Linked DNA regions of Drosophila melanogaster. The protein of the gene in region 2 purifies or fractionates together with the protein of the main gene of each other region. This does not show direct contact. Each region holds a gene or a part of one and is shown on either strand. Other genes may lie near its edges. The genes, in order: TpnC4, GstS1, CG6330 and ND-18.

Region 1 (6,833 bases), about 12 Mb from region 2:
GCAAAGTCCTATACACCACCGAAACAATCCGAGAGCAAAATCCAGAAAACCCGTATTCCTTTGGATATTGGCAGTAAAAAAGTGTGGGCGTTGAAGTTTTGCGCTGTTTGTGGGCAAAAGACATTGAAAAGAACTCAACAATTTTTCATATGTGTGCGCCGGGCAGTTTGGGACTACAAACCCCGAAACGGGGTTGGCAAGCATTTTAAATTAAAATAATACTGCTTAAAATGTAATGCTTAACCACAACTCTATATGGACAGACAAACGAACATGGCCAAATCGACTTTGCTTGTGATCCTGATCACGAATGTATATACTCTATAGAATCGAAAACGCGTGAAATACTGATTACATTATATAGGATCAGGGGACAAACTGCCCTTCCGCTCATCTGCAGGCGTATTTAAGATCAGATCTGTTGTCTTTCCTAGCAGTTTTTCGGTTAATATTTTCTTGAGGTGTAAGATGACGGACCATTGCCAAATAATCACACTTTGGAGCTCCAGCAGAACTTGAACTGTAATACTCCATTCAAATTGCTAATTGTACATCGCTATATATGTACCTACCTATACGTAGCTTTTAGGGCCATTGGAAAAGAGTGCTTAGGCACATGCATCATTGGCCCACTTGTGGGTTGTAACTTTGTCAATGTGAGAGACGCCACGTAAATCAAGTTTCGGAGCGACAAGTCATAACGGTCATAGCGTCAACGTAAGCCTAAAAAGCCCAGCCATTGGCTATTTCACCGTATAAGACAGAAATTCGTTTTCACAGACCGTCCAACCATCAATAATTAAAAGCCATGATGGAACTATTGTCTTTCACTGGGCGTCTTCCTTGTAGAATGCGACAGTGCCTGCCTTGGGAACGATTCTATAGGCCCAGCAGTCCCCTCCATGTCATCTGCTACGAGATGTAGGCTGTGTACCACATTATTCTAACGTGTGGGCGTGGCAGTTTTGGGCGGCTTGAGGGCGTTAGCGTGAGTCAACAAACTAGCGCTGCGTCTATGTCTCTGGAATGGTAATCTCGACAGACGGAAAGGGTCAGATCGACTCGGCTATTGATCCTGATCAAGAATATATACATACATACATTATATGGTCGGAAACGCTACTTTTCAGCGAAACTAGCACTTTTACTTTACGAGTAACGGGTATAACAAACAATGAGATCACACATTTTTGAAAGTGTGAAGGTAAAATTGGTTTCGTGAAGTACTTTATCTACGATAAAATCATATTAATTAACAACTTTCACTAAATTAATAAAATATAAATAGCTTTCACCCCATTTTGACACTACGTGATGAATGCACCAACTTCGGTAAAATATATGCAATGGTACATTTTGATACTCATCAATTATCGCGCATTTCTCTTGATTAGGTAGATTAGGAAGAAACAGTAACAGGAAAGGAAGCTTGATTCAGTAAGTAAAGATATCTTAAAGATATAAATATTACTGTGCAACGAGGAACGCTTAAAAATATAAGTTCCGCGTAATATTTATGGTTGAACTGTCAAAGAAAATGTTTGTTATTTCCCGTATAGATTAAGTGTTATGGTAAATCATTAATTTAAGAAATATGTTGCCTTTATGGTATCAAAAATACTTAAATTTCTAATTTTATATAAACTAAAAAATAAAAATTTTTAATTGGATTATTGCTTTTACAATTTAAGGAATAAAAGTTTCGGCATAAAGACCACCCTTACTCTTCGAGCGCTTCTTGCTCTTATTTCCTTATCATCGATTAGGATGAAAATTTAGCCGTTTGTATACAGATGTAGTCGCTTACATTTTTATTGTTAGCGTTCGTTCGGAAAAGCTTTGGCATTTTCCATTGCCGATGAACTTAGCTAACATAAAACACAAATCGAATTGTTTAAAAGCTTGGTGATAATTGAAAGTAGCGTACCCTGTTTCTTTAGCTCCTCTTCTGGGACACTTTTTAGATTATCAAAAATATCGTATAGTAATAGTAATATAGTATTTTTATATTATATTTAAAGGGTTTTCCTAAACCTTAGCGGTGTAATTTGATTTAACAAAAAAAAACTCTTTAAAATGGTAAGTTACGATATTATAACTTTGATTAAACTAAAAATTAATGGAGCACATTCTGAATTTTTTATATAAAATTTACTGTTGACTAAATATAAATATAAATATAATTATTTACCCTTGCTATGAAAAAACACAATTTATATAAATATAAATTCCACAAGCGATAAAGTATAAAGTATTAAGTTTGTAAAGTGGTTGGAAATAAGCTGTCAAGGGAAAGTGATTTTTGATATATTTTTTTTTTTGATATAGATAGTGTCTATCTACGTATGAGACAAATAGGAACTTAATTGTCATCACTGCCGTTAATCTGCAGATCATTTTCAAAACATTAAAATGTAGACGACAACGTGCGCTATGTGGATTTTAATAACCAGACAGTGAAGAAGATATTACCTTAAAATTTTTTAATTTATCATTAACTTAGTATTTATTGCAATAACACCCGCTACCCGTTACTCGTAGAGTAAAAGGGTATACTCTATTCGTTAAAAAGTATGTAACTTGCAGAAGGAAGCGATTTCTACCACATAAAGCATAGACATACATTCTTTATCAGGAACAATAGCCGAGTCGATCTAGCCATACATATAAGGGATATATTGTTCTACATCGCTAAAGTAGAGTCTTCGAACATTTATGGTAAATCAGTTGCATACGGACAGACGGGCTACCGAGCAAAAGTTGACTTCGTTACAAAAAATGCACATAAGAAAACGTACCCTTTTTGTGCATGAAAGACATGCATCTGTATGCAATATATTTTTGGAAATACAACATACCCGTCCACCAAACGAGTATAATTATGACATTACTCTTGTAGACACCAGGCTGACATGAACATATAGTTCATTATCTTAAAGATTTTATTATATATCCATACTTCTTTCAGGCCGATGGAGAATACGACAAGGAACAATTGAGAAGTAGTATAAAATTAAACTTTTATTTACTATTTAAAAAACGACGTATTAGTCCTTAGGAACGCCTTCAAGGCTTTCGACCACGACGGTGCAGGATCGATCGAACATGCTGATGTATCTAGCATTCTTGAAATTTTGGGTCAGAAATTAGAACCACCTGCGGTAAAGGCCCTTATTAAAGAGGTCGATAAAGGAACAACTGGTAAATTGGATTTTAGCCAGTTCTGCAAACTGGCAGCTCGCTTTATTGAAGTTGAGGAAGATGTGGGAGCTCTTCAAAATGAGTTAAAAGAGGCCTTCCGTGTATATGATAAAGAGGGGAAAGGATACCTGACAGTTGCAACACTAAGAGGCATTCTTCACGAATTGGACGATAAGCTTTCTAACCAAGACTTAGATATGATTATAGAAGAAATTGATGCGGATGGATCCGGTACGGTTGATTTTGACGGTAAGTAGTTTAATATAATTAATCAAACATTCAATAATAACGTTTTCATTGCAGAATTCATGCAAGTTATGACAGGTAATACATGATACCCTTAAACAAATATTAGTTCCACCTATGTAAAAAAACACATTCAAACAAAACAATATTATTCTGACCTTCTTTACGGTTTGCCGTTTAAGGGTGAAGTGACGATACCACCCACGTGCAAAAAATAATCAACTTGTATGACTACAATTGATATTGCATATATTGCATAAATTATAAATTCATAATATAAAATTTACGCAAACGGCGCCCGTTTTTCTAAAATAATTCCTGTCCACCAAAACATTTTCTATTAAACGATTTATTATCGTATTGCCTTGTAAGGATGTGTTTTTTTTTTATACTTGGTTTTTAATCGTCAACATAACGGCATAAGCAACATCAGTTATGACCGTAAAATGTTGCTTATGCCGTTAGACGATTAAAAACTAAGTGTGCTAAGGTCTCTATACCTAAGACAAGAGAGAAGACCACAGTCCAGTTATGAAATCCTAAAGAAAAATGAAAAAAAAAAATTGGGCGTGGCAGTTTGAGCGGCTTGTAGGCGTTGAAGTGCTGATGGCAAAAAGTTTTTTGGCAAATCGATAGAAATTGTCAAGCTTATTACAAATTTAAAAATATTATAACATATATTTTTTTTTTTTTGGGTATGCGTGCCACGCATATGCATGGCAATGGCTGGGATCCAACGTAGGGTCTTTTCTTTAAGCTTTTCCGGGTTTAAGGTTCTTAGGACCACGATTCCTGTGATCGATTCTGATCCATATGGGCATGTCCGAATGTATGTCCCTAAACATCTCCGCTTCTGGGGAGAATCCTCTGTTACATCCAATACCTCGTGTTTTTGTAGGGTTGCGTTAATCGCTGCTTTACCGTGCCACTTTTTATACAACATGCAAAATGCAACATTTGGTACAAAAGGAATCAATATTATTTACTGACGTGCCAAATGTTCATTGGCAAATAGGAATAGAGGGATGCATAACAAAAACCGGGTGTTGACTTGAGTGTTGATCACCTTACATTAAGAGATCAGTTGAACAAAGAGCGTAAAGTGAAACATCAATGAGAAAGAGTGAAAGTCAGTAAAGTATCAAACTGATCAAATCAAAGTAAACTGGCTTGTTGTGATCAGACTCAATATGGAGTTGGCTTGAGATTAAAGGGTAATGTCAAGGTCCATACAAAGAAGTAAAAAGTAAAGAAAGAAATGTAGACAAGGTTGGCGATGGTGAATGTCCGGTCCTTTAAAAACATCCACCATATCTGAGTTCGTGCCGAATAGCAAGTTAGATGTACCGAATGTTGAAGTTTGAAACAAGCCAGAAGAGCAAGTAGGCAGACAAAAACTGAGAGACTGTCGTTTATGATAATAAAATGACGTCGCAGAAGTATTTGTCTTCAAACAGAGCCCGTTTAGTTACATATATTTTTGACCAGAATTCATCTTCCAACACTGGAAACTCTTAGTGAAAGCACCTATCGATAGAATTGGAGGCAGATTGACTAAGAGAATAAGAACGGTACATAGTGTAAATAAACAACTGGAAGTTACGTAATAGGCAGCAAATTATGAAATTTCTTGGAACATTCCTTTTAGGTCCAGAGGGGGGGAGGGAAGCTGCTCCCCCTGCCCTACCCTGGCGACGCATTAATTGCTTTGTAAACTTCTATAGATTTGCTAAGAAAGTGTCAACATTTTTCGTTCCCCCTCCCACTAAATGAGTAATGAGTATCTGATAGTCCAGTAACTCGACTAGAAGGCAGATGACAAAATGACACCGATAAAAATTGGTAGAAAAAACATGATATTATAGAATGCTATAGTCCAGTGCCTCGACTATCAGATACACGTTACTCAGCTGATAAATTTAAAAACAATAAATATGCCTCCATATATGGATGTTATATATTTGCCGCCCGAATAAGCTACCGATTGGGCGTGGACAACATGTTTTTGGTATATTTTCAACACATTTAAGAAGTGTGTGTGTGGCGTTAGAGGCGCGACAAAATTGAATTTTATATATATATATTTTTTTATTATATATTTTATAAAATAAAATGTTATAAAATATCAACATATTTTTAAGACATAGATTAAGATTCCTGAGACATAGACGAAGTGCAAGGTTGTTTCTCAATTTTGCCACGCCTACTTTTACGCCCACAAGCAAATCAAAGCTGCCACGACCACACTTTTTAAAATGTTTTTATATTATTCATTTTTGTATACGTCTTATTAATTTCTATTGATATGCCAATACCCAATCTTCACAAATCTGCCACGCCCACACTTTTGAAAAATTTTTTGATTATACCAAACAATTTTGGACGCCCCTTCTAGCACCTATAAAACGACCAAAACTGTCACGCCCACCTTTTTTTAAATTTTTTAATATTTTTAATATATTATTCTCTATCTAATTCTATCGATATGCCAGAAAAATTATGAAAATTCCCATTTTCCCTTCCACTAGCTGAATAACGGGTATCTGATAGTCCGGTAACTCGACTATAGCATTCTCTCTTGTAATTTCAAATATTTCGTTCCTTATCCTTATATTTCGTTATATAAATATAAATATTTTTATAAACACTAAAACTTTTCTCTTCCAGGTTGACCCACATTGCTCTTTTTTGACATGCTGTGCAAAAGCTCAGATATGGCAGACAATGCAAAATCAAAAATACATAAAACAATAATAGCCATTAGTTTTGTGTCAAATATTATAAATAAAATTTGATTGAAATGTATTAGCATCATTTTTCTCTTATCTAATTTAAATATAAACAAATATCGGGCCAAAAGCAGATAAGGCCGATGTACGAACAGACGGATGAACATATGTGGTAAAGTAACAGGTGTGGCAAGGCTGTACTGTTTCCTCTTCTCCTTGCGTTCTTTGATGCTTAACTTATTTCATTTATTTTCAATGTATGGGAATAAAGCGACAAATTATCTGAGATTGGGAATAAATGTGTTAGAGCGTGACCGATAGTGCTGTTGCTGAACGTGGTTAAAGTGCGAAAGAGATACGAGAAAAGGAAATGAACCATGCTAGAGGCGAGAGCGTCAGTTGTTGGTTAGAAGCCAAAGCAGATAGAAGAACTCGTTGATACCTCAGCCTTACAAAATAGATTACATTTTACAGAAAAGATGTACAACAACACTCAAAATCCTTATGAGCCGATATCAAAAGTGGGATCTGTGCCGCACCAAAGACACTAGAATAGTGTCTTTGGCCGCACCCTGCGATTTCCGAGGGAACAGTGGCGTGCAGTTCTCGAAATGCAATACGGAATTTCGATGAACTTGCGAAAATCATGCAAGCATC
Region 2 (7,728 bases):
ATTAATAGACCGCAAACTGGTTATAGCCGCCTAATTGGGCATTTAGCATCGTCACATGCAAGTTTCATTGTGTTTGACTTTGGCTACCTTTTAACCCGAGTGCAACAAAGGGTATATTGCTTTCGTGCTAGTCTTAAACAGCAATCTACACTTGGAGGTCTATCTAGTATTTTTTCAGTTGGGGGATCAACTCTACTTTTTTTCGTAATAACAATCGGGAAGTATTCGGTCGATCAATTTCTGATTCACTCTGTTATCTTCACCCACTCCACTGCTTATCGTCATTTATAATATTTGAATGGGTTTTAAAGCCACTTCTAACATTTATAAAGTATGGCAATCATAAACGGGTACATTTTCACACAACTACATCAAACTACTTTAACCAAAATCGAAGCTATGGGCGAATAATAGCTAAACAAATAGATACGTGGAAACCTTGAATTGGATAATACGATTTTCGCCCATCAGCAGAGTCAGCTAACAAAATAGAGTTTATGTATTTAGTCAGCCGATTACAAAGATAAAGGCACACAGAATAGTGGCTTTAATGGCTTAAAGTGGCGAAAACCACTCATTACCGACACGAGTCAGTACGAGTTTGAAGCAAAACAGCTTTGGAGCCAGCACTGATTCGGGCGAAAAGTGACAATTTTTTTGTGTATTTACTCAATTAAAATTGGAGTTTGATTTTCAGGTTTTGCACAGTTCATAATTTGTGGGCACGTGTTAATGAGACAGTTTTTGTAAGCGCATGCAGACGTTTCGTGTTCGCTTTGAATTTAGATTTCTTCACTAGCTGCCATTCGAGTTCACTTGCCAATTTCGGCACTTACATTGTTCGCTATTTATCGGTCTTTTGCCGCGCTTTAAGGTCACGGCTCACGCTGCGTATACGCAATGTGGACTTCAAGCGATCGCCCAATTGGAAAACATTCACCAACTCGCGCAACGTTCGCTCACCTGCGCATTTGAATTCGCACTGAAGGTGGAATTCGCAGTGCAGCAAGTGCGAGAATTATCGCCTCTCCCGATCTCACTGTTTCTCTCTCTTTCCATATAGCACCCGTCTATAACTTTTACCGCTGCCGCTCCCGCCGTCTGGTTTTAACTGTTCGCCCGCCGAGTGTTAGTTATAATTTTTTTATGCGCTCGCTTTTTTATTATTTAGATTGCTCTCGCGGGCTCGTCGGTTCCGTTCTGTGTCGCATTTTCCACAGCAAATTATTGTCATAATTCCGCCGCTCATTCTTCGTGCTGCTTACTATTCTTTTTTTTTTACTTATTCCTGGAGTGCAATTGCAGGCGGCATAAATTCTTAATTAGTGCAGGCCACACAGCAAATAATTTTATTTAATTGCAGCCATAGTCATGACCATAAAATAGTAAACTACTTTCAATCCATAAACGTTAAAATCATACATCTATGCACTTTATTGGAAAATATTTTATAGCACGTTGTTAGAACATAAAATTTTATAGCAAGCTTCAAAATGCATAATTGCAGAAAAAATCCATTAGGTTTAAACGTAAAATTTCTGCCTGTGCATAAAACTTAGTGGTCTTCGCCAAGAAAGAAACGAAAAAGAATGCGGAGAAAATTGGCGCACAACCAGGCAGTCTGGAAAACCTACTTCAAAAACAATAACGAATCGAAAATTTCCCTCACTAGCGAGCAGTGCGTCAAAAAAAACTTCGGACTTTTTTTTAAGTCTCAGTTAGAGTTATTCATGGTGAGTCCGCTGCGATTTGTCATATATTCTCCACCTGTTTCACTCGATTATGCACTCGTCAGCGTGTTCGAAATGTCTGTCTTATCGTGAACGATTGTCATATCTTATCAATCGAGGTCTGCTCACAATCGAAACCGCCAACGCAAAACGAAGAGCTGAATACGCGCCATCGCATTAAAGGCCACAAATCGGTCATTTTCTATGGATTTTCGCGTAATTCTACGAGAATTCTGGGCTCGATTTTGTGGGGGATTTTTGCTGTTTTCTTACTTGTGCACCGATTCGCTTATCTTTGCACATTTTCGAACGTACGCCGCCCAGCCAACACAAAAACACACAAATAGTGCCCGAATCGCATGGAATGCTTCTTTTCCAGCTGTGGGAGTCCCATGGCTGCGAAAAGCTGGTGAATTCGATTGCGTTTTATGGTAGTTATTTGGGTAGAAGCAAAGATTGTGTGGGTACAAGATGAAAATTGTAGGAGTCCCATCAATTCACAGTGAATAACACTTAATCAAGTTTTTTAATCAATTAATTCAATTTTATACTATTTTATGTCAAGTGCTAAGCAAACGGCAGTCATTTTCAGCTAATGATAAGATATGAGCTAAGACCTATTTAACTAAGTGTAACTGACCTTCTAACTTAATTTATGGCAATTAATAAATTTCATTAAATTTTGATACAAGTAAACCCAATTAACAAATCATATTTTCGCGCCAATATTCAAAATTTAAACTTACCACACTTTTCTAAGTCGAATTCGCCGCAATTCGAGCCACACTTTTCTAAGTCGAATTCGCCGCAATTCGAGCCACTAACAGCTAGCCAAGCACACAACCTAAATTAGTGCGGCTTCTAACCAACCTTTTTATTATCAAGTACCGCAACCATGCAAAGAGTTGCCAGAATGTTAATTTCGAACATTTACGTTACAAGTTGAATTTGTCATTCAAATGTTTAAATTTTTAAATGGAAATTTTGCCTTCAGCAAATATGCCTAAATTAACAGGTTTAATTAAAATAATTTTACTTATTTTACCGATATTTATAAATGCAATTAGAAAAGATATGAAAGAGCCCCCGTTAAGCTATTCAAAAACAAAACAATGTGCAACATGTTTTAAATGCTTAAATAATTTTAATTTGATATAATTCACAAGCGTTATACATTTTTTCCCTTAGACAACCCTATGAAGTGAACCTGATGCTTCCCACATAAGTAAACATCTTGGATGCACTCGAATTTCGTCGCCAGGCACCGCCAGTCTGGATCGAACTAAGCAAAGTCCAGAGCACCGCGATTGAGTATTGGGCGTTTCAAATTTCCTGGCTAATTTCTCACAATCAGTTAATGCTAACAAAAGTACTTATGCGGCGGATAGTTCCTAAGAATGTGGGAGTATGACTTTAAGATACGATAAACTTACTTAATGCAAATAGGAGTAAGATTGAAAGTTAATAATTAGTTTTAGGTACCCATAAGATGTTTTTTTCTTCGGCTCTCAAAATCTGCTTTATTTAGTTTTCGTTCTTTAAACTATGTATCTTTTAAGTGGGCAGTAAACAAGCTTCATCCACTAAAAGCCCAAACAAATATTTACTGCCTTTTTTTGCTACTATAATTGGTTTATTACTGAGCTGAGAACCTCTCCCAAAGAGATCTATTTAAATGCCGACTGAGAGATTTTAAGAACAGAGAGAGAGTTCCATTTTGTTTATGAAAAGCTAATTGCCAAATTGGGAAGCCAAAGCCTGCTGGAATATTGCATTCCATTTAAGAAAAGAGGGTAGGAAGAAGAAGAACTGGAAACGTGGCTAAATATGTTAACTAATTCATTAACTTCGTTTCCTTTTCAACGCCCACTGGAACTAGAATCAGAGAGAGAGAGAGAGAGAGAGAGAGAGAGAGAGAGAGAGAGCCAAACTTAAAATTAAAACACTACCTTTTTCCAGTTAACCGGCCGGCTTACACACACAGTCAAACGCCTGAAGCTTGAAAGAGAGTGTTTGCTTGATGAGAGCGGCAAGCGTATAAAAGCAGCGTCGCCGGCAGAAGAAAGTCAGTTGCAGTGCAGTCGTCGTGACGATCGGTTCAGTGATAGCTTCCCAGTGGCTGGAGAGAGTGAGAGTAGAGAGTAACGGAAAGAGAGTGCGAATCGAACCGAACGCTATTCCTTCGCCCACGATTTAAGTGAACGCTTATTAGCGAATTGAAGACCCGAGAGCCCCAGTGCCCAGCTGATTTCGTATTCTTTGTTGAGGTAAGCCAAGGAATCCCTGGAACCACCTCATTTCGTAGCACCTTAGTGATGTAATTACGCACCAAGATTTACCCTTGCCAAAAAGTGGAAAACGCTTTTGCGAACTTCGATGCCGAATGGTGTTCGTCTCGAATCGGTTCTAAAATTACACACAATGGTTTTTTGGCTTCGATTGATTTGATTTGATTTTTGGGTCAATCGATTCGAAATCGAAAAGTTTTGAACTCGTTTCGCAGAATCGCAGTTCGCGCGGATCTCTCGCCTCGCTCGCAAGCAAATATGTGAAGGACAACGACGTTAACCGATCAACTAGAAGCCCTCTTCTTCTGCCTCTTCAGAACCGATCAGATCGGAATAGAAATATAGAAACGACCATAGCACCTCCGTCGACTGTGGAGTGCGTGAACGTATTTCGAAGCGTGAGGTACTCGAACCGGAACCAACTTGAGTGTAGTGCATATTCGGGATCTTATCCAAACGCAGGCTTACATAACCCCTATTTTAATACCTTTTCAAAAAGGAATAATTGAAATTCAAAACAAAATTATTTAGCAACAAACAAACAATCAGTTATATTTTTGAACTGATATGCCTCGGGGCTAGGGGTCCCAGACTTTCAAATTCTAGTGATAACCCCCCCGATCGGCGAGTTCATCTGGAAATGTTGCCCATATGGGCCGGGTGCACGTGAATCTCTTCAGTGCCCATTGACGCACTTTGTGTGCCTCCACTGGGTCCTTGACCCGCTGTGATCCCTGCCCTTTCCCATGGATTGGATAATCTAGGTGTCATTATCTTCCCTAACCTTTTCCCACGATTAAAGTGAAACCATTTGCCACGATTTTAGTGCCGTAGTGCCAGATCAAAGAGCCAAAATAGATCAGAGAATCGAAATTTAATTAAATCATGACACCGAAACACCGAGACAGACCAAATTAAATTCAATTGAAGCTGTCATGGCAACAAGTGCCAGCAAAAAAAAGGAAGAGCACTACGGCGAAACCAGAAGATAACACCGAAAAGTCAAATCGATTGTTGCAATTTGAGACTCTCCGAAAGCGAAAATTGCAGCGGAAGAGGCGGCCAATCGGCCATTACTAAACGGTGATGGGGTTGGGGAGGGGATCCGAAGTCTTGGTGACTGACTGGGCGCCCTGCCAAAATGATGGCAAAGGCAGAGACACCATGATTCCTCAGCCAAATCGAACGAAAACGGGTTTACGCTCTACATGGACCCCATTGCACACTGAATCCGTTTATCCAGCGAGGCAAAAAGTGCCGACGACAATGGAAACAGGGGCGTAGTATCCGTACCTCCTCCGTCCTACGATTCTTCCAGCAGCGCCAACGCCCCAAAAGATATTGATTCCGACTTTTGCGCGATTCAGCGAAAAACATAAGGGGACCAAAAGTGGGCAGACGGGCGGAGGAGTGGTGTCTGTTTCTTTGATATGCGTGGGTGTGTTGTCTGTGCGGCAATCGATGCACTTCCGGTGGGTTCTATGGGGAAATACTCTTGCGTTTCAGTATATATCTACTATATATATTGCAATTTTATGGTAATTATATTTTCTGTCAACTTTTGCCTTGACTCCGCTTGATTTATTGCATTGTTCTTGAAGAATAGCCTCATAAGGCATGCAAGCAAACATGGCTTTCGAACTAGCGCAAAATTAGCTAGTAGCTTATAGAGTATATGTAGCTTACCCCCAACGGTTTTTATATCATTTGTTTAAACCACTTAAGAATATTCGTAGCCTTGTGGACACACTTTATCGTGGATCGTGGAAGTTATACGACACCGTAATATATCCTTATCACTCACGCATATTCTGGCCCACTTCAGCTAGAAACGTTTGGCGCGTTCGCCTTATCATAAAAATCAGGCTATCGACTGATTAACTGAGTTTAATAAGCCAGCAAACGTAAACAAAAACTACGAAAGTTCTGGAAAACTAACCAAGGCTATTTCAAAACGGCGTGAAATGGCTAGCACTCTAAATTATTGAAGTTTTCAACATATGTATATCTAATCTGATAGCCAAGAAAACATAATGGTTACCAACTTTCCATATACACCGTAATTTATTATTGATGAATATCAAATTATCGATAGTACTTCCCCGATAAGATTCTGTTAACACACATTGCTCTACTTTTCTATCAGGGAATTGCATTGAGAAAGCGCAGAGATGGCCGATGAAGCACAAGCACCACCAGCTGAGGGAGCACCACCAGCCGAGGGAGAGGCGCCACCACCCGCCGAGGGAGCCGAGGGTGCCGTCGAGGGCGGAGAGGCCGCTCCACCAGCAGAGCCCGCCGAGCCCATCAAGCACAGCTACACGCTCTTCTACTTCAACGTGAAGGCGTTGGCCGAGCCCCTGCGCTACCTGTTCGCCTACGGCAACCAGGAGTACGAGGATGTGCGCGTCACCCGCGACGAGTGGCCAGCCCTGAAGCCCAGTGAGTGCCATAGTCCATCATTGAGTGGTCAGTGGACTAACCATAATCTACTCTGTCTCATCCAATAGCCATGCCCATGGGACAGATGCCCGTGCTGGAGGTGGACGGCAAGCGTGTGCACCAGAGCATTTCGATGGCTCGATTCCTGGCCAAGACTGTCGGCCTGTGCGGCGCTACTCCGTGGGAGGATCTGCAGATCGACATTGTCGTTGACACCATCAATGACTTCCGTCTAAGTAGCGAACAATGTGTGCCTCAGTTTCATGTTCAGTGTCCTTGATTAACTCTGGAATTTTTAATGTATAGAAATTGCAGTCGTCTCGTACGAGCCGGAGGACGAGATTAAAGAGAAGAAGTTGGTCACCCTGAATGCGGAGGTCATTCCATTCTACCTGGAGAAGCTCGAGCAGACCGTCAAGGACAACGATGGTCACCTGGCTCTGGGCAAGGTGCGTGCTCAAATGAGAACTTGAAACCATACACTCGTTAATTTTGAATGAACAATACTAAGAACCATCGATTCCTTTCACCCACAGCTGACCTGGGCCGACGTCTACTTCGCAGGCATCACCGACTACATGAACTACATGGTCAAGCGCGATCTGTTGGAACCCTACCCAGCTCTGCGCGGAGTCGTGGATGCCGTCAACGCTTTGGAACCGATCAAGGCCTGGATCGAGAAGCGCCCCGTCACCGAGGTCTAAGTTCACCGAACAGGACTTGGGAGGATGGGAAAGCATTGCACAACCACTCAGACACAACCGCACCGCAGAAATGCACACCACCCACATCTGCACACATTTTGTTCCTTTTTGCGGAGGATCCGAGAGGACGGCGGATTTTCGCACGGGGTCATAAACGCGTAGGAGTTTAGCACGTATCACTATGGATAAATCGTATTTGTTCTTAATTTCTTGGTTATAATTCTCTTTGCATGGCGCTATATACATATTTCTATTGGGGTCCGGCAGCGGATCGCCGTTCGTTAGCTTCTTCTGAAATGATGAAAGATAATACTTATTGCACAGTTTATAATATTTTGGCTTACTTTTAGAACATACATTTAGCGCACCTATGCAGACATTTGCTGTACCTATATATATATATATATGCATAAAATACAAAAGCTACGAGTGGTTCATCTTATAGGCGTATTCTATTGCAATTTATTCAATGCGGAGGGCTCAATAAATATTTAAAACAACACCAGCTAAGGCTGAGAAACAATTACAAATTCTTATTTTGTTTTTTATACAACACGCCATCGC
Region 3 (5,658 bases), on a different chromosome or scaffold from region 2:
TGTTGGAGAGTGAAGGAAAGGTATGGTTGAAATGGTTTTCACAGTCTTAAAGGATATCCATTTAAAGCTTTCTGATTAATGGTTTGCCGTGTGACGTGACTAATGCATTATTCTCTCTTAGCTGGAAAAAGCTTTTCCTCGTTTCGAAGAAGTTGCCAAACATTAAAATCGATTCTGGATTTATGATTCTTACGTTAGTTGGGATAGTGAAAATATCCAGAAATTGTTCTAGCTTGCCATATCCTAAGACGTACTGGGTTACCCATAAATAGATCAAGTGCTTGAGCTCACAATGAAAAGACTAGATCCATGGCAGTGACATTTGTTGCTGCCAGTGACAGTCAAGCTTACCCATGGTAACCAACCAAGTGGAATGACCCAAAGAAACGACTTGAAATGGCCACGATTGCGTACTCATCTCAAATTACAAAGGGTACCTCAAGAAGCACTTTAGCGATGATATGACGAAAACAAACTCGAATATCGTTATTGAACCACTTTTCATGATTTGTGTTGGTTAATGAGTTTTCTTTATTTCACTGCCCATTCAAACGAATATCACAGCAAGTCTCGCATAGTTTTGGCTTATATAAACAACGATTTTTATTTGGCTTTGCAGCTGGCAAAGTCCATCAATGGTAGTTACGGGGAATCGGCCAAGTTAATTACGAGTATGGCCATTAAGTGAATTCCACCGCTGCCGCACTCTGCTCACCGCCAAAATGCGACCTCAAAAACCAAATTGTGAGCCGCGTCACGTACATAGAAGCCAACCTCTCTTTCTATTGCAATCGCGCTGTCTCTCTCTGTCTCTGTTATTACTTGCCTCCCTGTCTCTGTCTGGTTCTCTTTCCCTCTTGTGAATTGCTATGCCAACATAGCCGAGCCCCCTTTTCGACTGCTTTTGACTGAGCTTTGTTTTTGCCTTTTGCTCTTTTCTTTTTTTTAATACCTGGTACTTGCGCGTTTGTCGGGTATATTGCACTATTGTAGCACCACAAGACGTTGTACTATATATGCGTATATATAATAATAATATATGCATATATAATATATAAATAAATTTAGATGTCAACAGTTTAAAAATCGTTTTTGTAATGTATGTAAAAGGTACAAGTTATCTTATAGCCTTACCCGTTTTTATTTATTTTTCTTTCTGTTTGTTTAAGTTCCCTCTTTTCTTTGCTGATTGTTTCGCTTTCTGCTTGCCAGTGTGAGTGCAGGAGTAACTGTGTGTGGGCAATGAGCTCCTCTTTCGTTTGTCTTTCGCTGTCGTCTGTTTATGTATATTTAATGGCCTGACTTCGAAATTAAAGCCACCGACATCGGATGACGCACTGGTGACTGGGCCTACAATAGTGGTAGTTGCGCTGCTCACATTCTTGTCCATGGCGAAATATTTCTTTTTGTAGAGTTACTTTGAGTTACGATCACAGGGTGCCTAGTTTCATGCGAATAGTTGCCAATTGTGGGCAACATTAAAAATAAATTAACCGAATTGGTCTTATTTGCATCTAATTTGCAAATATCAGAGTTGAAGAATGTGTAGCGAAATAGGTATCTCAAAAACCCGTTTAAAATATACAAAACCAAAAATTCCAAGCCAATTTGCATGAATTTAAAGTTGAAATGTTATACTAATGATTCGGCTAATTGGACCTGATCGAACACCCTGTTCATACAGCGAATAAAGCAGCGAAATTGCAATAATTGGATTACGCAAATCCGTTATGCTCGGCTGCAATTTCGCCTCAAGGCTCGTGGCCAATTGCACTTGATTAGTGATGCATAAGTCGCTCTGAACTGATAACAATCTGTATCTATGTATGTATGTATGCCATTCTATAGAGGTTTCTATTACACGACCATACAGTGTGCAATATATTTTCATTTCCACTATCAAATTGCGCAGCATAACTTCCGATTCGCCGAGAAGATTGTCTTATCTACACAGCTCAGCAGAAGCGGCCTATATAAAGGCCGGCGAAACGCAAGAAATTTTTTCAGTCTCGCTCGAAGCGTTGACGTGTCTACACGAGTAACTAGTTTTGTTTTGGCTCGCTGGCTGCTCCTTCGTCTGGTAGTTGGTAGTTCGTTTGTGAGTTAAAGGACATTCGAGAGGTGACATCATGCCGCCCACCATAACCGATAATCAGACGCACGACTTTAAGGCCCACTACGATTGCGCCCACAGGTCCTCGCTGCAGGACGACGAGACGGACGATGCGTACGTGAAAAGGATAACGCGGTAAGGATGCTGAAACCGGTTTTTGGTCCTGCAGCTGCTTCTTAAGTCAGCCGGGGGTTGTTTCATTTGGCGCGAGAAAGTTGCTCTGGAAATTTCTCTGTTTGCTAGCAACAAATAACAGCCGTTTTCTATTGAAAAATGAAAACAAATGCAAATCAAAATCCATCTGCAATGCAGTCTATAGTTTGCCTGATGTCAAATCGCTGTGTTGGCACAAAACCAGCTCTTCATCTGAGCAAAGAACGCCAATGGAAAACAGAACGCTTGGCCAGTTGGCACAATATTTGCACAGACCGGTGGGTGTGACGCCTACTCGATTACCCTGTATTCATTTCAAAGATCACTTTTCATCCTATCCGATTTCCGAGCTCATCAAATCATAATTTATGCTTCAATCGGATGTTTGCCGGAGTGCTTACGAAATATATTCACTTCGCGCTTATCAATCAAGGTCAAGACTACACGGGGTTTTCATTTGATTATGCTAGAGTCATAGACATTTTGCTTTTTGTTTTGCTCACACTTCTAACATGTTTTTTTTCCGACTCCCCGTTTGACGCACTTGATAATGATATTGGTTGGGTATTGGTGCTCTCTAGACCCCCTACATCGCAAGGGGGGTCTCTATAAATAAAGTCACTAATACACGAATCAATTCTGATCCAAATATTGATTAGAAATACGAAATTTGAATCTGTCATTTTGTGGCCATTAAATACTCGAATAGTGCTTACTCACGATTGTGTGACAAAATTGTGTGTATAAGTAATGTATATTTCATAAAAATTAGCTCATAACAATGTGTTTTTGCTAAGCATTACCTAAAAAATAAATAATTATTCCAGCGATGACGAATTTCTTCCTGCCCATCCCAACTGATTACACTTTTGGGGGGCTTGTTCGGCCACCGATTTTCTAGGAAACACTTAGATAAACTTATCTTTTATCAGAAAACGAGCATTTTTAAGTGTGATTTACTTCTGACAGCTGAAAGTAATTAACTCATTCATTTCTTGGCCTGAAGTGGGCGTTTATTTATGGCCCCCGCTGGCGGCGAATAGAATTTAATCCTCATTAATTCGTTTTGCATTCGCTTTAATTGCAGGTACTCCGATGGAACCGTCAAATTGCGCAACTCGAACATTGAGCTCATGGACCAGGATATCCTCTATCACCTGGCCTTGGGCAGCGAGAGCCACGACCTGCAGGAGATGTTTGGCGACGTTAAGGTGAGTGGTCTCTTGAATTATTCATAGTCTGAGGCGGTTAAAGACTAGACCCAGACCTAGACCTTGATTGTTATCAAATCAAGTGGGGCACAAGCGAAACGAGTTCATTAGCTGTTGCCAATTAAGCTAATTATATGCTTAGTCAGATTCATAAACTTAATAAATATATCAATGTGCTAATCTAGTACTGGTTCGATTTGCGATTTACAATTAAGGGTATGTTTTATATAAATAATTATATAGTCATAGATTGCAATACCAGCGGTATTAGTAATTTACAAATCTGAAACACAATGCCGGTTATTCCCCTTCTAAAAGCTCACTCAATTAATCCGTGTCTGTCTTTGACTTTCAGTTCGTTTGCATGGGCGGCACACCAAAGCGCATGGAGAATTTTGCCCATTTCATAATGAACGAGATTGGCTACAAGTTGCCAGCGGGCACCCAGCTGCAGGACATCAGCGCCTATTCGTATCGCTACTCCATGTACAAAGTGGGACCGGTGCTGTGCGTCAGCCATGGCATGGGTACGCCCTCGGTCAGCATCCTGATGCATGAGATGATCAAGCTGATGTACCACGCCAAGTGCAAGGATCCCGTCTTCATCAGGATAGGAACGTGCGGAGGAATTGGCGTCGACGGCGGCACCGTCATCATCACCGAAGATGCCCTCGATGGGCAGCTGAGGAACTCCCATGAGTTTGTAAGTCGTGGCTGAAATATCACCTCAAATGCGATAGATGACCCTAAACACTTGATTTGCAGACCATTCTCGGCAAGACCATCCATCGTCCTGCCAAGCTGGACAAAAAGCTGGCCCGTGAGCTAAAGTCCCTGGCCAGTCCCGATGATCCGTACGATACCATTATTGGCAAGACGCTGTGCACCAACGATTTCTACGAGGGCCAGGGTCGTTTGGACGGCGCATTCTGTGATTTCAGCGAGAACGAGAAGATGGCCTATCTGGAGAAGCTGCGCGAGAACGGCGTGGTCAACATCGAGATGGAGAGCACCATCTTTGCGGCCCTGACCCACCATGCCGGCATCAAGGCAGCGGTGGTGTGTGTCGCCCTGCTGAACCGCCTCAATGGGGATCAGGTCAACGCGCCCAAGGAGGTCATGAACGAGTGGCAAGCGGTGGGTGATCCCGACTAACTCCCCCTCTCAATGGAATGTAATTGAACATATGATTTTTCACCCAAACAGCGTCCGCAGATCCTCGTGTCGCGCTATATTCGCAAGGTCCTTACGCACAATGGACAGCTGAAGGCGCTATTCGGACACCAGGGATCCATCAAGTCACCCCGGCGCTTCAAGCTCGTCCAGCAGGAGTCTCAGGCCCACGAGTAAATGGGATCATGTGACCAGTTCCATCTCATTTCACCTTCTTACATTATATGTGCGCATCTCTCCAGTATACAATGATGTTTCAACATTCCCTAGTTTAGCTCTGATTAAGTTCCTAGCTTTATTTCTGTGTATATCGCCCACAACCTCATCGGATAATTTAAAACCGATCATATTGTACGTGCATATGTTCATATGTTACCACAATTTAATATATATATGTATATCAATAATATATAAAAATAGTATCACTGAGTGTGACGTTCAAAGGTTATCAGAAATAAACGCTTTTGAGATCACAAAACAAATAACGAATAATATAGAAGAATTATGAAATTGTTAATTGTTATGTTGCATATTTTAAATGGGGCTAATCTATTAAGCAAAGATTCAACAATACCAAACAAAACTAAATGCTACATTTCCATTTTATAAATTATTATATTATAATGTATTGAAATTCCTAAAGATTTGTTAAATGTACGTGTTGATTAGTGTTGCTACCGTACACTCGACTCTAAACCAAATCCAACAGCACTTAATCTTTCTCTGTCTAGTTATATCCAAATTAAATGAAAACAATACGATGAAGAACAAAATGCTGAAAATAACATCAATACAATTACGGATAGCACACGATAAAACCAAATATACAAGTTATATTGTAAAAAAACGAAATTTATGACAAATATTTCAACGGTATATTAAAAGAAATTGTAATTAAATTATACAAACCACTTAACGCGATTTCATTTTTTGGTGGCTAAAAGATCATACCAAAACAGTTATTTTTCCATTATTTATTTGCATTACATATGTATATATTTTTAAACA
Region 4 (3,445 bases), on a different chromosome or scaffold from region 2:
CGGTAGAAGTTTCGCTTGTAGTTCTGGAACTCCTTCAGAAGAACCGCGTTCTCGTCGGAGCAGTCCTCCTCGCTGTCGTCATCGTAGAGCTGTGGATGGGAAGGCGGCATTGAGCGGACGGAAATGACGGGATGGCGGTCAGTGCAGAGAGTTCATACCAGCATGCTCTTGTTGATGAGGGCTCCGAGATCGGAGTCGAGGTTTTGAGACTCGGTGATCTCGCCGACGTCCATGTCGAACGCCTCTGATTTGTTGTTCATGTACTTCAAGTCGTCGGCGTGCTCCTTGAAGTGATCCAGCTCCACCTCGGTGAGGGCCGATATGAAAATCTGCAAGCGGCGCAGGTTGAGCTTGCCGTTCTCGTTGATGTTGCCGCCGAGGGTCGGGTAAATGCCGATGTAGGTGCGGTAGAGCAGCGGCAGTGCATTTGATGAAATGTGCAGGCACGGCAGGTGGGGAATGAAGTCGTTGCCGACCAAAAAGCCCATCAGCACCCAGTCGTCGATAAGCTGCGCAATGTCCAATTTGTGCTCGTCTGTTCTCAGGGCGTCGAACTCCAGCTCGAGGTACTCGCGCAGCAGACCCAGGTGCAGCAGGAAGAAGCGCGTCTCCTCCACCGAGGTGCGCTTGACGTTGCGCCCGAACTTGACCTCCTCGCGCAGCACCACGAAGTGCAGCTCGTGGGTGCAGAGGCCCAGAATGATCAGATCGGCGTCCAGGCCGTAAAGGCAGTGTCGTGTATTGGGATCATAGTCCGGCTGCGTCTTCATGTACCGAATGTAGTCCATGATCTTGTGCTCGCCCTCGCCGGGCGCCTCCTGGCCACTTAGGATTACGGTGCAACGCTGCCACAGCGGATCCGTCGAAATCTTCGTTTTGAGAAAGGCGCGCAGTCCCTCCTGCAGACGCACCATGAATTCGGTGCCCGGCGTAATGCAGTTGCTGTCGAAGCGCTCGTGCTCTCGCAACTCGCCTCGCTGGGCCGCCTTGGCCTCCTGCTGCTCCGCCTCGCGCGCCGTCCGGAATCGCCGGCTGCGCTGCTGGTTCATCTTGGCCCGTGGAGCCACCCCGTCAACTGAAAGGAAGAAGAGGCGCTGCGGCTTGATCAGGTAGAACAGCTTGTCTACGTAGTTGAAGATTTCCTGGAATATCTGCTCCTCCTCCAGGTGAAAGTGTATGTTGTTGTCGTCCGGATGCGAGCAGTTGTGGACAATGCCGTTCATGTCCAAGTACAGATTGTCGAACTCGGGTATCTGCAAAGGAACCGTACGGTGCATGGCAACATATAACGTGACCTAGCAGCTTTACTTACGCAGTGCTCCCGCGCCAATTCGCTGAGGCACGGATATCGCTCGCTGATGTAGCGAAAGAACTTGGGAACGCCCATGTCGCTGTTCTGGATGGGACTGTTCTGCCGCCGTGCTGTTCTGCCTGGATCAGTGGCAATTTAGATGAACTGAAAAATTTGTGTCTTTATCTGTTTTCAACATGTATTGATTGACACAAAAGTTGCAAGTAGGCGAGGCGTTGCCACAACGTTTCGCTATTGCCATGTGGTAGGGCCGGCGGCATTCCGCAGTTCGATGAATAACTGAAAGAATAAGGACCCTGACCGATTCAAATCGATATTAGAATCGATAAGCGAAACGGGCTCCTTTGCCAATAATCAGCTAATGGTGAAATTAAGCTAAAAGGAGCTAAGAACACCTACATATCTGGCAGCACTGGGCAAATGCAATGCTCATCATTTAAACAGTTGGCTTACAAATAGCATAGTTTTAGTTCTAGTTACTTCTCTAGTTCATCATCAGTGTATTTCATTTCATTCATTTTCATTTTAAAGTTCATTTTACCACTTGAACAGCATTTCATAGTTTTTGCGAAGTTCGAAGTGAAAAAGAAGAAAACTGTTTTTGAACTATTGTGGCATCGCATCCAAGGCGAGGGGCCACACTGTTTCCAATTAGAATAAAAACACTCACCGCTCGCCTGGTCACACTGGCACTGGCGAACAGCTGTTTTCCCAATCGAAAAGCGCTTGTGTTCCAAATTTTACGTAATTCGTATTTTGAAGCCGATTTCTGCCGTGTAGCCCCAAACGCCTAGCGAAATGTCGGCCCTCCGCCAAGTGATGTGCAGAAGCACCGCCTCCCTGCAGCTGTAGGTACCCCCGCCTGGCCGGAGCAAGTGCATCCGACCTGGCAAATCTGCAGCCCTCTAATTATCCACTTTCGCATCTTGACACCGCAGGTACCAGGCCAACAGGGCAGCCGCTGCCCGCTGGGCATCCACCGCCACGGACGGCGGTCCGCTGGACCCCAAGACGGCCCTGGCCCGCCCCGAAGAGCTGGAGCAGCGCAACAAGCTGAGTGGCAAGATCACCGTGCCGACTGCCGTCAATCTCAGCCCGATCAGCGGCGTTCCGGAGGAGCACATTCGGGAGCGCCGTGTGCGCATCCATATTCCGCCCAAGAACGCAATGCAGAGCGGCACCGATAACGTGAACACCTGGCAAATCGAGTTCGACAACCGCGAGCGCTGGGAGAATCCGCTCATGGGCTGGGCCTCCAGGTGAGTAGCTGGCACGTCCACCATGCCATGGCAACCTTGGTCAACGTCTCGTGTTCCAGCGGCGACCCATTGTCCAACATGAACGTGCAGTTCGGATCCCCAGAGGAGGCCATCACGTTCTGCGAACGGAACGGATGGCGCTGGTACGTCGACGGCGCCGCGAAGCCCAAGAAGGAGCGCGTCAAGAACTACGGCATCAACTTTGCCTGGAACAAGCGCACGCGCGTCTCCACCAAGTAGACGCTCCCCGCAGCTAGCCAGGATTATAGACCACAATTATCTGATTTTTTTTTTGCTTTGTTCATTATCTGAGTACCCAAATAAACAGTCGGCTGGACTCAAATGACCACAGCACCATGTAATGGCCACCAGTTTCGCTGCCAATGGAAGCGGCACCATCACATGCCGCTCTAATGACGAGCGGTTTGGGAGCGATGCCTATTGTGCTGCTTCTCGCGTGGCTCTCGCTCCTCCCGACGCCTATCGCCATGTCGATGCCTGCTCGGACTGCGGCTTCTCTTCCGGCTGTCATCATGATGCTGGTACCAATCTCTGCGCTCGTTGCGCCAGTCCCGATGCTCTTGTCGCTGTCCTCGGTCCTTGTGCTCCTTAAAACGATCCATTTGGTCGTTATGCCGCCCTCTGTCCTCCTGGTACCGCTGCCTGTGCTGCGTTTGCTCGTTGTGCCGCCATTGGTGCTCCTGAAACCGCTCCGCTGGCTTATCGCGTCGTCCCTTGTGATCCTGTTGCCGCTCCGTTTGCGTCCTTTGCTGGGATTGCTCAACATACCGTCCGCGGTGCTCCTGTCGGTCGACTTGCTTATGATGCCGCCCGCCGTGCTCCTGTTCCCACTGCTTCTCCAGCGCCTGCATCT

What was found.
Region 1: the proteins of GstS1 (region 2) and TpnC4 purify together in Drosophila melanogaster (affinity purification with mass spectrometry, with the first as the bait; one large-scale study listed by BioGRID). This does not show direct contact.
Region 3: the proteins of GstS1 (region 2) and CG6330 purify together in Drosophila melanogaster (affinity purification with mass spectrometry, with the first as the bait; one large-scale study listed by BioGRID). This does not show direct contact.
Region 4: the proteins of GstS1 (region 2) and ND-18 purify together in Drosophila melanogaster (affinity purification with mass spectrometry, with the first as the bait; one large-scale study listed by BioGRID). This does not show direct contact.

Annotation. Positions count from the first base shown.
Region 1 is NT_033778.4:5,502,930-5,509,762, reverse strand, and holds TpnC4 (troponin C isoform 4), read left to right. Parts: upstream 1-1,896; 5' UTR 1,897-2,076; coding exon 2,077-2,079; intron 2,080-2,968; coding exon 2,969-3,002; intron 3,003-3,051; coding exon 3,052-3,450; intron 3,451-3,504; coding exon 3,505-3,525; intron 3,526-6,114; coding exon 6,115-6,119; 3' UTR 6,120-6,326; downstream 6,327-6,833.
Region 2 is NT_033778.4:17,093,497-17,101,224, reverse strand, and holds the start of GstS1 (glutathione S transferase S1), read left to right. Parts: upstream 1-1,723; 5' UTR 1,724-1,733; intron 1,734-2,918; exon of another isoform or gene 2,919-3,099; intron 3,100-3,689; exon of another isoform or gene 3,690-3,997; intron 3,998-4,247; exon of another isoform or gene 4,248-4,421; intron 4,422-6,164; 5' UTR 6,165-6,189; coding exon 6,190-6,460; intron 6,461-6,528; coding exon 6,529-6,708; intron 6,709-6,766; coding exon of another isoform or gene 6,767-6,775; coding exon 6,776-6,909; intron 6,910-6,996; coding exon 6,997-7,164; 3' UTR 7,165-7,728. UniProt on the Drosophila melanogaster protein: Conjugation of reduced glutathione to a wide number of exogenous and endogenous hydrophobic electrophiles. May be involved in the detoxification of metabolites produced during cellular division and morphogenesis.
Region 3 is NT_033777.3:26,949,594-26,955,251, reverse strand, and holds CG6330 (uncharacterized protein), read left to right. Parts: upstream 1-1,997; 5' UTR 1,998-2,129; coding exon 2,130-2,248; intron 2,249-3,353; coding exon 3,354-3,477; intron 3,478-3,832; coding exon 3,833-4,180; intron 4,181-4,242; coding exon 4,243-4,614; intron 4,615-4,683; coding exon 4,684-4,827; 3' UTR 4,828-5,129; downstream 5,130-5,658.
Region 4 is NC_004354.4:19,490,427-19,493,871, forward strand, and holds ND-18 (NADH dehydrogenase (ubiquinone) 18 kDa subunit), read left to right. Parts: upstream 1-1,994; 5' UTR 1,995-2,110; coding exon 2,111-2,160; intron 2,161-2,250; coding exon 2,251-2,571; intron 2,572-2,630; coding exon 2,631-2,811; 3' UTR 2,812-2,911; downstream 2,912-3,445. Other genes in the region: pcm (pacman), read right to left, coding at 1-89, 159-1,253, 1,313-1,387; CG12204 (uncharacterized protein), read right to left, coding at 2,982-3,445. UniProt on the Drosophila melanogaster protein: Accessory subunit of the mitochondrial membrane respiratory chain NADH dehydrogenase (Complex I), that is believed not to be involved in catalysis. Complex I functions in the transfer of electrons from NADH to the respiratory chain.